Nothobranchius furzeri: one gene and its partners. The protein of the gene in region 2 purifies or fractionates together with the protein of the main gene of each other region. This does not show direct contact. Links are inferred from orthologs where the notes say so. Each region holds a gene or a part of one and is shown on either strand. Other genes may lie near its edges.

The links. Proteins that work in one complex are often made in the same cells at the same time.
Region 1: the proteins of rack1 (region 2) and insulin-like growth factor 1 receptor purify together in Homo sapiens (affinity purification with western blotting; 4 studies listed by BioGRID, with this or other methods). This does not show direct contact. The link is inferred for Nothobranchius furzeri from reciprocal best matches to the Homo sapiens genes RACK1 and IGF1R.
Region 3: the proteins of rack1 (region 2) and helz purify together in Homo sapiens (affinity purification with mass spectrometry; 3 studies listed by BioGRID and IntAct, counting the BioPlex papers as one, with this or other methods). This does not show direct contact. The link is inferred for Nothobranchius furzeri from reciprocal best matches to the Homo sapiens genes RACK1 and HELZ.

What each region holds. Positions count from the first base shown.
Region 1 is NC_091749.1:29,660,127-29,665,876, reverse strand, and holds part of insulin-like growth factor 1 receptor, read right to left. Parts: intron 5,655-5,750; coding exon 5,419-5,654; intron 1,365-5,418; coding exon 1,197-1,364; intron 1,104-1,196; coding exon 896-1,103; intron 799-895; coding exon 494-798; intron 402-493; coding exon 268-401; intron 43-267; coding exon 1-42. UniProt on the Homo sapiens protein: Receptor tyrosine kinase which mediates actions of insulin-like growth factor 1 (IGF1). Binds IGF1 with high affinity and IGF2 and insulin (INS) with a lower affinity. The activated IGF1R is involved in cell growth and survival control.
Region 2 is NC_091741.1:97,232,035-97,237,884, forward strand, and holds the start of rack1 (small ribosomal subunit protein RACK1), read right to left. Parts: upstream 3,264-5,850; 5' UTR 3,152-3,263; coding exon 3,043-3,151; intron 2,580-3,042; coding exon 2,408-2,579; intron 1,207-2,407; coding exon 1,059-1,206; intron 771-1,058; coding exon 675-770; intron 516-674; coding exon 405-515; intron 167-404; coding exon 26-166; intron 1-25. UniProt on the Homo sapiens protein: Scaffolding protein involved in the recruitment, assembly and/or regulation of a variety of signaling molecules. Interacts with a wide variety of proteins and plays a role in many cellular processes.
Region 3 is NC_091744.1:2,412,951-2,418,205, forward strand, and holds the end of helz (probable helicase with zinc finger domain), read right to left. Parts: intron 4,637-5,255; coding exon 3,967-4,636; intron 2,480-3,966; coding exon 2,206-2,479; intron 2,113-2,205; coding exon 1,757-2,112; 3' UTR 1,688-1,756; downstream 1-1,687. UniProt on the Homo sapiens protein: May act as a helicase that plays a role in RNA metabolism in multiple tissues and organs within the developing embryo.

The DNA.
Region 1 (5,750 bases), on a different chromosome or scaffold from region 2:
AGATCGATACACTTGTCCAGACACACACTCGTGCTTCTCGGTCTAACACACACACACACACACACACACACACACACACATCATGGGTATGATTTGACGTTTTCTAGTTGAGGGTAAACATGGCTGACCCATAACCACAGATCAGGTTAATAGAGCTAACTGCACCTACTGAATAGAACGTTGTGATGTTCTAAAGAGGTTCCTGAGTTCTACACAAAGACAAAAAAACTTGAACTTATTTCAGCGTGAACCCCGAAGTTCTCCTACCTCAGCTGAAAGTTTGAACTTGATCTCGTACATGAGGATGAGCCCATTGGGGCGGGGGGGCTCGGGCCAGCGCAGGAACACCCAGTTCTCATGACCCTCCCAGACCACTGAACCAGGAATGTCATCAGCCTTTTCTGGACAACCAACAGGAGGATTCCAGTTACCAGACACATCCTCTCTTCAGCTGTTTTGAACTGTGTGATGCTGAGTACACGTTTACTCTAACCTGCAGGTTTGGTTCTGGAGAAGACAAACTCAGCCGCGCTGCAGCGCTGGACCTGTCGATTGCAGGCGTGAATATCGATGCGGTAAACGGTGAAAGGCTGCAGGCCGGAGATCTGCAGCTCCCGTTCCGTCACCGACTGCTCCACAAACTCGTATTCCTGGTCGGCTGGCTCCGAGTCCACAGTGCTGCTGTTCCCAGCACCTTGGAGAGGTGGGATGGTGCTGCTGTTGGTGGACAGCTGGACACGCCGGGAACGAGTGGAGTTAGCCACGCCAAAAAGATCTCTGCGGCGCCGGTCTGGTGGTCTGGGGGAGCGAACGACAGACATAACCACAATATGAAGATTTGAAAACATTTCCAAAGTTGCGAAGCCCAGAGGAATTTACAGAAGCAGCAGATTACCTTGGTGTAAAAATGGAGTTGTGCAGGAAGTTCTCAAAGACTTTTCTATAGGAGGCATCAGAAGCTTCAGCCTCCAGCTCTTCCACCGATTTGGGGCAGGGGCAACAGGGGCCTTTATCCGGGCCGTCGGAGTCTGGTTTAGTGGGCTTGGTGTCTTCCTCCTGGTCCCCCACCCCTGTGGCAGCAATCCTAATGGGAATCTTTAGCTCTGGTAGAGGAAGACAAGGGTGAAGCCTAGCAGGTGAGACTGAATGGCTGAATGTACGTGTGTGTGTGTGTGTGTGTGTGTGTGTGTGTGTACCTTTAGAGCAGTAGTTGTGCTGGTACAGCTCCCGGCCCTCAGCTTGCTGTTGCCATCTCACCAAGTAATAAGTTTGGTTGCCATTAGGCGCGACGGGGGGCGACCAGCGCACCACCAGCTGAGTCGATGAGTTAGAGTACGCTCGCACGTCTTGAGGCATGGAGGGTGCTGAAAGTGAAAAATAAAACTCTATGAACTGTAGGGGAGTTCTGTGCCTGAGGCCTGGACACTCACACTCTCTCACACACTCACACACACACACACACACACACACACACACACACACACACACACACACACACACACACACACACACACACACACACACACACACACACACACACACACACACACACACACACACACACACACACACACACACACACACACACACACACACAATCTGCCAATGCAGCTGTGTCTCACTGGCCATGTTTTCATGCTGCAGCTGGATTTGTTTTACGCCGTCCTTCATTTCATCTGATTAAATTACTGTTCTGTAAGTCGTTGCAGCTCAAAGCCTTTGATTTGCAGCTGTGTTTATTTTAAAGAGCATTTCTCCCTGTCCCTATGATGTGTTTGATTCTGTAACACAATCACAGGCTGAGTCCTCCTAAACCTCAGCCCTTCATCAGAAGTCACCAGTGGTTAAAAGACTCTGATTCCGGGAACAGGGACAAACTCTTCAAGGAGGCGATTCCTCAGCCGCTGTACCTGATTCCTTCTAGGTAAACAGACATGATGGAGCCAATATGTCCGCCTAAGCCACGGAACTATTTAGCTGTAAACAGATTCATTGATGTATATGTTTAACCAAATGCATGTGCATAAAAAATTCTCGACTTATCCAGCTGGAACCCTCTGTGAGAACTGTAAGGAAGCGTCATCTCACGGCTGAAGTGGCTGCAGGTTTTCTTGAAAGTTTTTAGAAAGATCCCTCCCACTCCCGTAACTGCCTCTTGTGATTTTACTGTCAATGATTTTAACAGCAGACTGAAATCCGCTCTGGACCTGCTCGCTCCACTTAAAATCAAAAGTCTATGTTCAAAACGTGCTTCACCGTGGAGAAATGAAAATCTAAAGAAACTAAAGAGAAATTGCAGGGTTGCAGAGCGGAGATGGAGAAAGAACAAAACAACTATAAATCATCAAATATATACAGAGCTACTTAAATCATATAATAACGCAGTGAGAAATTCAAGAAATGCATACCTTTCCAAACTCATTCTAGACAATAAACACAATCCCAGAATACTTTTTTCCACCGTAAACAACATTTTAAACCGTACATCCAATTCACTTCAGAAAACCCACTCAGATGCACTCTGTGAGGAGTTTGCAGCCCACTTCAGAGGGAAGGTAGACACCATCAGAAGGAATATTTTATCCTCCATAAGTAATAAGGTTTTAGATAAATCTGAATGTGTGTCTATACCAGAGGAAACACTGGACAGCTTTGTCCTGGTAGAAGCTGAGACTCTTGATAAAGTTTTCTCCTCAGTGAGACCCACCACATGTGTTCTGGACCCAATTCCAACTTCGTTCTTTAAACAATTTTATGGATCTTTTAGTGATGAGATTTTAACCATGATGAATTGCTCCCTTCAGACGGGGGTCTTTCCTGCTGCCTTTAAAAGGGCGGTGGTGAGGCCCTTGTTGAAGAAGAGCAATTTAGATCTTAATGAATTAAATAATTATCGACCGGTATCCAGCTTACCATTTTTAAGCAAAATTTTAGAAAAGTCGGTTTTAAATCAACTAAATGATTTTATAAACACTAATAATGTCCTAGAGACATTTCAGTCTGGTTTTAGGGTGAACCACAGCACTGAAGATTTTAAATGATTTTAGAGTAAATTATGATAAACAGAAGTTGACAGTGTTGGTTCTACTGGATCTAAGTGCTGCCTTCGATACAGTAGACCACACTGTTCTTTTAACTCGTTTACAACAGATCGGCCTCTCTGGTGCTGTACATAGATGGTTCACATCCTACCTCACAGACAGGACTTTCATGGTGAGTTTGGATACCTGTTCCTCTCGGGTCCATGGGATTACATGTGGTGTGCCCCAGGGTTCAATTTTAGGCACAGTGCTTTTTAATCTTTATATGCTCCCTCTTGGCGGAGTCATCAGGAGACACGGGGTTAACTTTCACAATTATGCTGATGATACACAGTTGTACATCTCCGTGTCTCCGGATGGCTCTCGGCCAATGGATGCACTTTTTAACTGTATTTTAGACATCAAATCCTGGATGGCAGAGAACTTTCTCCAGCTCAACCAGGACAAAACTGAAGCTTTAGTCATTGGTCCTGAGGCCCAGAGAGAGAAGCTTTTACCAAAATTACAATCTCTGCCTTTTAATCCTTCTGAACAAGCGAAGAACCTGGGTGTGATTTTTGACTCTGAGCTGACTTTTATCCCACACATTAAAAATATCATAAAAATAGTTTTTTTATCATCTAAAGAACATCGCCAGAGTCCGCCCCATTCTCTCTCGGGCCAATACGGAGATGCTGATGCATGCTTTTATCACCAGTAGGATAGACTACTGTAATGCCCTGCTTTCTGGTCTTCCCAAAAAGAGCATCTCAGGCTTACAACCTCTACAAAATTCGGCAGCACGTGTCCTGATGAAGACCAGGAGGCGGGAGCACATGACACCAGTTTTAGAATCATTGCATTGGCTCCCTGTATGTTTCAGGATCCATTTTAAGGTTCTTCTAATGGTTTTTAAGTGTCTTAATGGTCTTGGGCCTTCTTATCTCTCAGAACTGCTTTTACAATATGAACCCTCACGGCCTCTGCGCTCCTCTGGCAGGCGTCTCCTGGTCATCCCTAAAGTCAGGACACACACTCACGGCGAGTCGTCCTTCCAGTATTATGGCCCTCGCCTCTGGAACGAGCTGCCGGAGGACCTCAGGGCCGCAGAGAACATTCATGTTTTTAAGTCCAGGCTCAAGATCCACCTATTTAGGTTAGCTTTTATCTAATTATTTATTATAGTTTTATTTCTCGTTTTACATGATTACATTTTATTACTTGCTTTGCATGTTTTATATGATTATATTTTAGCACAGTTTTATTATTTAAATTATTATTTTACTGTCTATATCATTTTATTTATTACTTATTTTCTAATTTTTGTCATTTATATTAGCTCTTTTATTTTATTTTTACTCATTTTACTCCAGTGTTTCCTCTGTGGGGGCCCTCTGCCCCGGGAGCGGTGGTCGACTGTAGCTTCCTGGGCGCTCTATAGGTGGGGGTCTATGCTCCCCCTCCACTGAGCGCCCTGACTTAGTGTGGAAGACCTGATGCTACCGGGGCAGACGGCTCCTCTGATGGCGTTTCCTTGCCTTACCTTACTTGGCTCATCTGGACTCAGCCAAATATAATTTTTACTTGTGTGTGTGTGTGTGTCTGCGTGTGTGTGTGTGTGCGCTTGCATATGTCTGTTAATGTTTTTAACCTGTTATGGGAATCTGGGGTCATTTTGTAAAGCACTTTGTTTGAAAAGCGCTTTATAAATAAATCTGACTGATTGATTGATTGATTGAGTGGAACACTCCGGTCCTCCACACAGCCTCACAAGCACAGAAGTAGAAGGCTGGATTAAAATGGGATTGAGCCGGATTATTAACGCCGACTAGGAGAACTTTTACCTATTAGTGTATTCTTGTGGGATAAAAAGTTCATTTGATACCACCCACACAGTCACAGGTAGTTCCACAGTTTTAACTGAAGCTGTGATATTCTAGCAGCCATTCATGTCAGGGCTTTCAAAATAAAAGCAGAGAAATGTTGAACGCAGTACGCTACAGAAGACAACAGATGTCAGTAACGACACAGAAGAAGAGACGGTTTTTAACACAACTGTGATAAAGGTGAGTAAACTCACAGGTCAGTCTGACAGCAGAATAACTGCAGAACTAAAATGATGCACTTGTTCTGATTAGTTTGGCCAGAAATCAGAAACCTCACAAATGTTCTGTTAACTGAACATGATGAATAATTCCCCGTGAGAACTAAATTATGTTTTTGGCTCTAAGCATTAGTGATGTAAAGTTGCATTAATCCCGTTATTTATGTCGAAGGAGACACTTTGGCTAATTAGTAGGAATATCATTCAGCAAAAAAGCATTTTCCTGTGGAAGCTTTAGCTTATTTCTTACATAAAAACCTGCTCGTTTCTGTTATCAGAACACACCACACACACCTGAGGGGCTGGTGCGGATGTAAGCCACCTTGGTCTTGGCCCCGAGCATGTGTTTGTCCTCCACCAACAGGGTGATGGCTTTAACAAAGATGGCGTACTGCGTCCACGGTTTGAGTCCGGACAGCAGAACCCCGGGGTCCGACTCCTTGTCGGGCCTCAGCTCCACATCCACCATGTTCCAACTGTTGGAGCCACAACCATCCTGCCCCTCGAACTCGGTGATGTTCTGGAACGGCCTGGAGAAGGAAAAGGTGTGAATTAGTTAATTACTGTTAAATTAAACAAATCTACGTTTGATGCAAACAAACTCCAAGCTCTTTCAGATGTTCCTT
Region 2 (5,850 bases):
TAACATGTTTAGCTTAACATCTTACCCAGATCTTGATGCTGGGGCCGGTGGCGGCACAGAGCCAATAACGGTTGGGGCTGAAACAAAGGGCGTTGATGGTGTCACCACTATCCAGGGTGTACAGGTGCTTGCCTTCATTCAGGTCCCACAGCATGGCCTGGCCATCCTGAACACCAACAGAAAACATTCTTCAGTGATTACATCGCAGCTCTTAACACGATACCCAACCCCACAAACGGGGATCGTGACAAGTTCAAGTCGTGCTCAGAAACAGCCTCTATTGTCATCATTTTAAAACAGATGTATGATTAATTTTCCATCATTGCAAAAACTTGTCCGTTCACTTAAAGATTCTAAAAAAGAACATTTTACAGAAATCTACAATTACTGGAAGCAGATGTTACCTTTCCACCAGATGCACACAGAGAGCCATCAGGGGAGACGGTCACTGTGTTCAAATAGCCAGTGTGACCAATGTGGTTGGTCTTCAGCTTGCAGTTGGCCAGGTTCCACACCTGAGAGGCATCACACCCGAGACAGAACAAACATCAACATCCAACATGGAAGCTAATCATAAAAAAGGTTGTCTTACGCAAGTAGTCAGCTAATAAATGCAAACTAAGTTAAACCATCTAACCAGGACCAAACATTAGCAAATTACTAGTAAACCATACCTTGACCACCTTGTCCCAGCCACAGGAGACAATGATGGGGTTGCTGCTGTTGGGGGAGAAGCGAACACAAGACACCCACTCAGAATGGCCTTCATCCTGCAAAATCAAGTTTGAACAGTTTAAAGTTCAGCTCATCCCAACAATGGCTCACTTTAGCTCATGTAACCACCGAGACTTATTCCATGATCCTGACACACTACACACTTAAAACCATCATACAGATTTAGTCCACAATGCTCCAGCTGATGGCTGAGCTGTGTGCTCTACCTCAGAAAATGTAAAACTAGTTAAAAAAAAAAAAAAAAGCTTGAACAAAAACTAAATGAAAACCAAAGAAGGAACAGCTCTAAGCAGCAGCAGCAGCAGCATTAAGTGACAGCTCACCTGAATGGTGTACTTGCAGACTCCAAGAGTGTTCCACAGCTTGATGGTCTTGTCTCGGGAGCCAGATACAATCTGACGGTTATCAGCAGAGAAAGCCACACTCAAAACATCCTTTGTGTGTCCAACAAACTGACGGGTGGTGGTGCCACTAGAAAAACACAAGATTAAGACGTCCGATTAGAATAAAGCTATATTAAGTTTACAGTTTAAAATGCCTGCCCTCCTCTACTAATTATGGCCTCTACAAGCTACAGTCATTTAAGGAGTTAAAACAGTTTTTTTCCCCACTTGTATTCAAACAAATCACTTTAGTACACAAACCTTAATGCCGATCAATGACAATTTTTTTTAGGTTCAGTTTATATCGGGTTCCAGCACTTTAGCCAGAATCAAATTCCAGCTCCTCACTTAGATGATTAAAACTGTTCAAACATGGACTGTAGTTTTATTCCTGTATAAACCCCAAACCCATTTATTTAGATCTACTGTTCTCTTAAGTCACAACTAAGGAGTGTATAAAGTGATGAAGGTGTAGTAAGGACAATAACACTGTGGAACAACAGTGTCGGGTACAAGAAACTGGGAGAATTTATTTTATAGGATCTCTGACAAACATTGTAATTGTATATAACTGCATTTTTAAATGTCTGCTGTTTATTATTTAGTGCGAGATTACTGAAGTTCTATCTGTGGTACAAAACACTAGTATAAAAAGCTGTTGCACGGTCATGTACACGCAAATGAAGTTTGTTCACCAAGATTGGGTTTACACATGGTGTAGCTTAACTAGATGTCATTTCCCAACTGTTTTATGGCTTAAGTTATGTTCCCTGGCAACTTGGTATTTAGAGGTCATAAGTGCTGAAATGTTTGTAGCTCTAGTAACAAATACGCATTAGCGCGGACTGTGTGTTAACATCGGTTCAAACACATTTTCATTTATAGAACAAAGGTGACAAATCATATCTTTAAAACTATCCAGGATGTTTGTTACAACTTAAATTTAGAAAGGACATACTTCCAGCTAATACAAACATGCAAGTCTTTACCAACTTACTTATTTCTAAAAAGAAAAGCATTAACTAGTTTAAACTGTGTTCCACATAGATGCTTAGATGATGCAGATCAAGGGTCAGCAACTTTTTTCCTTGAGGGGTACCATCCTGCAAGTTCCACACGTTTCCTGCTCTAAAGGACCCAGATTAACTGATTTCATCACAACCTTCCTAAGTTGACTTCTCTAGATGCTCTCACACATTTAAATATGTTGGGAGCAGGTAAACGGGTAAAGAGATATATTTACAGGACAGCGGATCTGATGTAGAAGCTTTCTTCCTAGCTGTACTTACGTGGTGAGGTCCCACAGTCGGAGGGAGCCGTCCCAGGCGCCTGAGAGAGCAAACTGTCCATCCGAGGAGATGACAACATCACTTACAAAGTGAGAGTGGCCCCTCAGAGAGCGCTGAGGGATCCCATAGTTGGTCTCGTCACGAGTCAGCTTCCACATGATGATGGACTTGTCTGAAAGTTTAACACATAAGGTTCAGGACTCAGGAGTATTGCCTAAAGCAAAGAGCAGGTAGGTAGCATTAGCATGCGAAGCTAGCACTTAAGTTAATATCAAGTTAATATCACATTGCAGCGCTTGGTTCAAGGCCTTATAACCTCATGTCAAGTAGTCTGATGTTTAACTGGATGAATCAGTGTCGGTGCTATGTTGGTGTAAACCCAGGAGTGAAACACAGTAGATCCAGCTAATGACGCTAGAAAGCACAAGTTTAACTACACCAGGTTTCCTCCACTTCTGAAGTCGCAAATGTTCACTATAAGCGATTAATGAGCCTTTAGGCTGTTGTAATCACATTTCAGCGGTCTTCTGCCACTTCCGCAAAAATCGTATTTTTGTAACATTACCAAAGAGTCACTGCTAGCTTACAAAGCTAGCTGTAGCCATGTTGGCGGCTGCCGGCGGGGGAAGCCTCACCTCGGGACGCCGACAGAATCATGTCGGGATACTGAGGGGTAGTGGCGATCTGGGTGACCCATCCACTGTGGCCCTTCAGGGTCCCCCTCACTGTCATCTGCTCGGTCATTTTGACGAGGTTCGGTGGTGCCTTTTACAAGGATGGATTCGGATATTTCTCAGGTTCGTAAAAACCTAGGTCCTCATCGCATCTAGGCACGGAGGAAAAGGAAGTACAGACCCGGATGCAAAAACTAAGAGGGGTGAAGGGCTCGCAGAGCATTCTGGGATATGTTTTTTTCCCCAAGTCATCCAAGTGTGCTACAAGAAAAGACTGAAGGGGACTGTTTAGAAACATGATAAAACATTTCACTTACAACACATCACCATTATATATAAGTAATACACACTGATTTGGTTATTGGTAACAGCTGTGCACATCCCTGATATGTTTCTGTCTGAATGAATAAAGGAAATTAAGCTCTTACGAAACATAGCACCAGTAAAATAAAATGTCTGTGATGGACACAAATTTTCTGATTTTAGAATATTCTATATTTTACAAACGTCCGTATTTTTTATACTTTATGTTACACACACACACACACACACACACACACACACACACACACACACACACACACACACACACACACACACACACACACACACACGAGCTTTAATCCCATAATATTTGTTTCTTTTCATGTGAAAGGCGGCTTTAAAGTTGACGCCTTGATATATTTTATACCAGGGATGTCCAAACTTTCCTAGATAAGAGCCAAAATCAGCAAGTTAACTGTCCTTGTAGGCCACAACATATACATTTTTTAAATGCTAAAAATATTTATTCTTGCATTTGTACTCCCTAAAATTTGTCAAAATGGACTATTAAGTTTGAACATACAATGTTGGGGGGGGGGGGGGGGGGGACGACAGTGACATAAATTGCTCCAAGGGCGACAAATGAGGGCCACATACATGCCTGCTCTATACTTGTGTACTGATTAACAAACAATCTTTAAAATTTGAATTTTCATTTCATTTCACTTTATTTGTAAAGTCTCTTGTATTTATTTATTTATTTATTTATTGGTTCTTTTTTAAACACAGAGAAGAAAACTTTTCTTTCCTGTGTTTAAAAGAGAACCAAAAAAAAAATACAAGTTAAAAAGACCCAGAATGAATGCACAGAAGATTGTAATGTCCCTTCCACAATCTCATCAAACACCCAAGGTGCTGGACAATACAGCAGGCAACAAGTACAAATAAGACAATATAAAACAACCATAAAAACATATAACCTAATAAAAAAAGGCCAATTACAGACAAGACAATGATGCCACGCTACAAAATAATTAATGTTTTATCTCACATGTTGAACAACATTTGGAATCCTTCAATTTCCAGGCTTTCTACTGGTATGTTTTATGAATAATCTGATATTTCTATATGTAAACTACTGCACAGCTACACTATTTCAACACTGTTACATTAGGCTGAAGTGAGAATATTGGTAACAGTGTTGTGTGCTTAGAAAAAAATTGTATGGTAAGCCTCCTCTCACTGTAAGACTTGATCATCCTAGCAGATGACGTTTTACTTTCTAAAACATGTCATTTTCAAACTTCTTTAGTCATTTGCTTTATTTTACTAAAATAAAAGTTGAAACAGCTGACTAGAGCTACGGCCACAGAGTAGTATGTGCCTGTTGAGTCTTTTGGTCTGAGGCACCAGATACCAAGTGAAGTGTGGTTCAGGTGGTGGAGGAAGAAAATACCTGCTGGAAGGAGTTTGATGAGGCCATGGAGGAGTTTCATACTTTGAGAAGATTCTGGTCCACCATTTGATGTCTCAGGAGGGTGACACAGCTGCACCACCAACACTGTTTATGGTGGGGATGGTGTACTGCTGACCTCCACTTGGGATGTTGTGAGTCAGTGGAAAGAGTACTTTAAATACCTCCTCAATTCCACTGGCACATCTTCCATTTAGGAAGTGAATTCTGGGGGTTTGGGCTATCAAGTCTCTAGTGCTGAGGCAACCAAAGTGGTTAAGAGACTCCTTAGTGGTAGGGCTCCAGTGGTGGGTGAGATTCGCCTGGAGTTCCTCAAGGCGCTGGATGTTGTGGGACTGTGTTGGTTGATGCGGCACAGTAAATATTGTGGATACTGGGGGCAGTTCCACTGGATTGACAGACTGGGGTGATGATCCCCCTATTTATAAAGAGGTACTGGATGGTGTGCTCCAACCACAGGGGGAAAACACTCCTGAGCTTAGCAGGCAAAGTCTCTTCAAAGGATCCAGAGACAAAGGTCCCCTGGATAATCAATCAGATTTAGGAGGAAAATGTGATATTCTCCTGGTCTGTGGAACACTAGACCAGCTCTATACCCTTAGCAGGGTCATAGAGGGTGCACAGGAGTTCATCCAACCAATCTACGTGTTTTGTAGACTTGTAGACAGGGCTTAATTTGAGCCAGATCTTGCTGGAACAAGATCCGGGAACTATTTTATTTTGAAAGGCAACTGTCTGCTAGGATTCAGCAACTCACGTGACAAACTTGTGCTATACGCAACATTCGAAATATGGGTGAGCTAGAGGGAGCTCCTGGAAGCCCTCAACTTCTGAAGCAGGGGAACTGTAAAGATGCAAAAACTACCATTGTTAAAAGAGATGTGTGTTAACTTAGAAAATGTGGGCGCAATTTTAATTACTAGTCAATTGCTGGCCATTGTGGATTTCACTTCCCATTTCCGCCAGTATCTCCTGGGGCAGCCCTTTAACCCTCTCAGGCTCAAAATAAGTTTTGATAAAAGGACGAACAA
Region 3 (5,255 bases), on a different chromosome or scaffold from region 2:
CAGGAGAATGTGTGAAGAAGACATTTATTATTTCTATACATGTTTTGGCTGTCAAAACTTCCTTATAGTCCCTTTAATAAGTGTCTCAAGATAACGGAAACATTTTTCACTTAAATAAATGTCTTATTAAAACTGAAAAACTGCAAAAGATAAAACGTCTAAACAAAGCCTTATTGATCATTAAATATCAGTTCAACGTTACATTGTTACTCAGTTAATCAGATGCTTTTTATGGGGTTTGTCAAAGATCCTAAATTTTCTAATTTCGTGAAAAACGTACAGCAAGGGAAAGAATTTTAAAAAGGGCTCTTTTTCAATCCACTTCAAATACCGGATTGTACCAGATTGAATCACTCATTGGTTCAAACAGCACCCTTCTAAAGTAGCTAAAAGTATTAAGAGAACTTTTTTGCACTTTTGAGGTGATGGGAGATTTAAAATTCACGAGAAAAATGTGTTTGAGTAACTTAAATTTTTAATGTCTGCATAAAATGTACCAGAATATTTAAAATAAGATTTTACAATTAAAACAATACATCTATGACAAGAAATCCAAACATGTACATACATTTTCTTATTATAAAAATGTAAATTTTGGGGAAGAAAAGTATTTTTCACACAAATACCAATTTTTTTGCTTCAGTTTTCCATTCTTCGTCTGTTTTAGCATGCTCAAAAACATTTGACTGGAGGTAAATAACCCACGGTAATCACGACTCACAATGACCAAGCTTTCTCTTCACTTACGCAGACCTTCAGACCAAAAAAACTTTCAAAAATAATCCGCGGACCAACAGTTACTGAAATGATCAGATCTGATGCTCTGACAAACAAGCACCAGCAAAATAAAACATAACGGAACTATTCTGCTCAAACAAGCAGCGTGGTTCATCTGATCACAGAAAGCATCGTCTCGCGTTCTTAGAGCTTTAAAGCCGACAGAGAATGAAACACACGACCGATTCAGCGACAGTTTCACACTGAATCTAGTCTTCCCGATGACGTCTTGGTGAAAATTAAATGAAAACTGGAGTTGTTTTTTCTATAATCACATTTACCACTAAATTACCAAAGATTATTTTAAAGTAAGGATGACTAAAAGTTGAAAGGGGGCAGGAAAAAAAACTATTCATAATGCAAATACTAACATGATTTATGTGGTGTACAATTCAGTCTTTTTATTTTCTTTATCTGTACAGATTAGAGGAAAATTTATCTACTTCTATACACTGTTCTATGCTGTTGGTCGGTTGACCACTTAGCCGTTGTTACAAAAACACAGTATTATGAGCTGTTGATGTCTACTTGAAACTTGGAAAAAAAGCAAAAACAAGCATTTTTTTATATTTAAGAAAAAAATTCTTTTAAAAAAGCAGGAAGCTAAGTGGTCAGCCAAGTGTTACCTTTTTTTTTAGTTTTTATATTATTTTATTTATTTATTTTTAAGCATTACTTACATGTACAAGTGTAGATAATATAAGTATATATATTCATATATACATAGTGAGTATGTATATATATATACCAGTAATGCATTTGTTATATATACTGACTTTCTTCACAGATATGTCAAAGAAAAAACATTACCAACAAGAAGTCAAAGTGATTAAAAAATGCAGGAAAACAAACCTACTGGTAGAAACCAAATTATAAATGCACTTTACACACATTTTTTTTTTGTTTATTATTTTTTTACCATTTTTTGCTTGGATTTTATTATTTTATTTGATCACCTATTAAGTGGGAGAAGTGACACTCATTTAAAGTAGGAGTAGTATCCGTTGCTACCATTTGAACTTCCAATACTCAGCTCTTGAAGGAGGGAAAGAGGGTTACTATTCTTTTTGACCTGTTCAGGGCGAACAGCTCGGGGTTTCGGGGGAGCGCGGAGGGCGCTTGCGTATGACATGGTGGGGGCTTTGTTTAAATTTGGAGCCCCCTGGGTGGCCTCTGTTGGAGCCTGTGGTGGCGGTGGTGGCTGCTGCTGCTTTTTATTTGACATTAGAGGAGGAAACTGGTGCTGATGGGAGGTGATGCTGTGTGGATGGGTGGGCTGTGTGGCTGTGGGCTCAGCCTTCACCTGCTCATCAGTTTGACGGAGAACCTTGGACGCTGAAAAGTGGTTCAACCATTAGTAAGTTGGACAAATTAAACATGATTTAAAATAGCTTTACAATAACATAAAGCCAATTAACAGAAACTTACCCATAAGGTCGCGATGTTGAGCCAGAGCATTGGATCCGTTACATGGAATGTTCTGAAATTTACCAGGACCTGCACCATTACTGGGCCAGAGGTGGTCTTGTGGGAGATAGTTATAGGAGGGGTGTGGGTGCTGATGATGCTGCATATGAGAATGATCCTGGGGGTCTGACGGACAGGGCTGGGCATTGTGGGTGTTGGCTAGAGATGGTTCATCTGGGTAGCTGGAGGAAATGCGGCGCTGATAAAGAGGCCGGCCCGGACCTCGTGGTTCATACTGCACAAACACAAGTGGAGAAATGATGACACATTAAGTTAAATAATTAGATTCAAAAGAAATGACACAAGAAACTCAAAAGAGGTCTAACAACTGGAAATTGTTCTTTGAGCCTAGTTATTGCATATGAAAAATTATTGGGGCTCAAAATGGCCCAGGAGCCCTGAAAAACTGCCCAAAACGACATCGATATAAAGCCCTGCAATGGAAAGTCTGGTTTACCCCACCCACTCAGCCAGGTTATGAAAATGTAATGGGCGTGTGGGAATGTTGATCTGTCTGGCATTCATTCTGTCTGAATATTCACCGTGTATCTTGGAACATGAATGGTGTTCCAACATTATTTGTTACTTTCCTCTTTTTCGGCAAGGGTTTTTAGCAGTTTAGCTAGCTTGGACTAGCATTAGCTGTACATCAGACTACCATTGTTCTTCAGTAAGCATTGCTGTAACCAAAGCTAAATATTTTGCCAATATTGAAGTGGGATGGCAAATGAAAATTTAAGGCTGTGTGTCTAAGCTGATGTGTTAAACCAGATTTCCTCAAAACAAACTCTGTGGCCATTACTTTGTTGTTGTCGAATTTAGGCAACGTGAAGTGTCCGATATGCCAAAAAGTCTGTCTCCAACCTGCTTTCCTATGCTCATATCATGGTTCATTCTGGAAAAAAAAAAAGCTGGTATAACACGTCAAGTTGCATCCCAATCTATGCTAATGTCTACAATAACTAAACATGCTAGCCGAGGCTAGTGCTAACGCTAGCTCAAGAAACTCCTAATGCTTGCCCGAGCTACTGCTAACGTCATTGTTAGACAAGAAGAAAACAACAAAGAACAATGTTGGCACAAACAAGTAATATTCCAGGTTATTGGGACTATCTAGCCTGGCCAGCCATCCTATATATGTGAGCATATAGTCTGGCCACGACCCATAGACTCAGTCTTGGGATGGGATCTACAGTTGGCTTTAAAACTGAACAACATGACATACTCACCACTACAGATGTCAGTCAAAATGGAAGAAGATTCAGATACATCCTTTTTCTAAATAAAGGACTGAAGTACCTCTATCAGCTCTTGACTTAAAGAAAAGCCCAAGCCTAAAAAATCCAAATTCGAGGCCAAAGTCATTTCAAACAAGCCGTCGCCATCTTAGCTTTTCCACTCAGTTGCAGTAACATCCCGCAACCAAACCAATAAAGCACTGTGACTGGTAAGACACAAGATAGTTTGGGCAAACTGAGGTTCCAATAGAGCCTGGCTAGACTGATCTATAAAGCAATACCATTCTGCTATGATCTGTCTTAATTTCTAGGCTAGGGAGTATCCAGGCATTGAATGAATGCCAGAAATGTCCAGAGCTTGCTTATTGAGTTATTCGGATAAACGACTGTACAGAGTTTCTAGCTTCAGGGTTGAAGAACTTTTTTTATTTGACCGAATTTAAAAAAAACAGATCACTGTGCTAACTAGGTCAGCAGTTCTTACCTCATCTACACTGTGAAGGGTTGTAGTTGCTGATGATCTGGGGGACAGTGGGTGGTAGGGCTCTGGGTTAGGACCTGGATTTTGTTGGTGTGGCTGCTGTGGCAGGGGTTGTTGTAGCTGCTGTAGCTGCTGCTGTTGTTGATGCAGCTGCTGCTGTTGGTGCTGCTGCTGGTGATGCTGCATCAGAACCTGCTCCTGTCTGCTGGGGTGAGCCATGATGGGCAGTCCATAGAGAAGACCATGGCCCTGGTTCCCCAGCAAGTGGTTCTGCTGTGATGCAGATGCACCTCCACCATGGGGCCACTGAGCTTCTTGCAGAAGATATTTGACCTGGGAGGAAGGTGGGCTGCCAGAGTGAGCTGGTGGCTGATTTGGGTAGCTACCTGTATTGTACAGGGAGTTCCCCATGTGCTGTTGCTGCTGCAGAGCCTGATTGTTGAGAAGGTTTTCATTAAGGAGGTTGCGACTTGTATTGTGGGAGTAAAGTCCTGAAGGAAAGGGGCCAGCGTGATTGGACATGGCAACTAAAGAGGAAGAAGAGTCGTCTGAAGAGCGGCTCTGGGACTGTCGATACTGAAGGAGTCGAGATTGGGGTGGAGGTTGCATCTCTGTTGCTTCTCTGGCTTCTGGCTGATCCTGTGGGGGCACCTCTCTCAGGAGGCCTGGATACCTTGGAATTATAAAGTCATAGTGTAAAAATCAGTAAACGAAAAGAGTTCATCACAACAAAATGTCAGTGACACAAATCTGACATTAAGCTCGACGAAATTACATATTCTATTCTGATTTAATGATGTCATTTAGGGTTGTCACGGTAACCGGTATAAGGTAAACCCCGGTAAAAAAGTTGACAATAAAAATAACCGTCCAGTTTTTAAAAAACTAAATTATCTCGGTGGGTTTACCGTGGCCGCGGTTTCGGCGCGGTGACCCTTACCAGCCACCGTCGCTTCAGCTGAAGTTCCCGCGGCGTGCACACGCACTTTTTAGTTTGCAACGGCACCAAAACTTTGAAGCTGAAATAACGGCCGAAGGAGGAGACGGCAGCGCCCAGGACATCCATCAGCCCTCAAAGAAGACTAAATCGGAAGTATGGGCATATTTTGGATTTCTGAAAAATGCTGAGGGACAGTTAATAGAAGACTGCTATCCCGTTTGCAGAACATGCAGGAAACAAGTGTCTGCAAAAGGCAGCAACACTTCGAATCTAATGGCACATCTGCGTGACGATCACCCACGTCTCTACAGCCAGTGCAAGGTAAGTTAACATTAGCATTTTAGCTTAAATG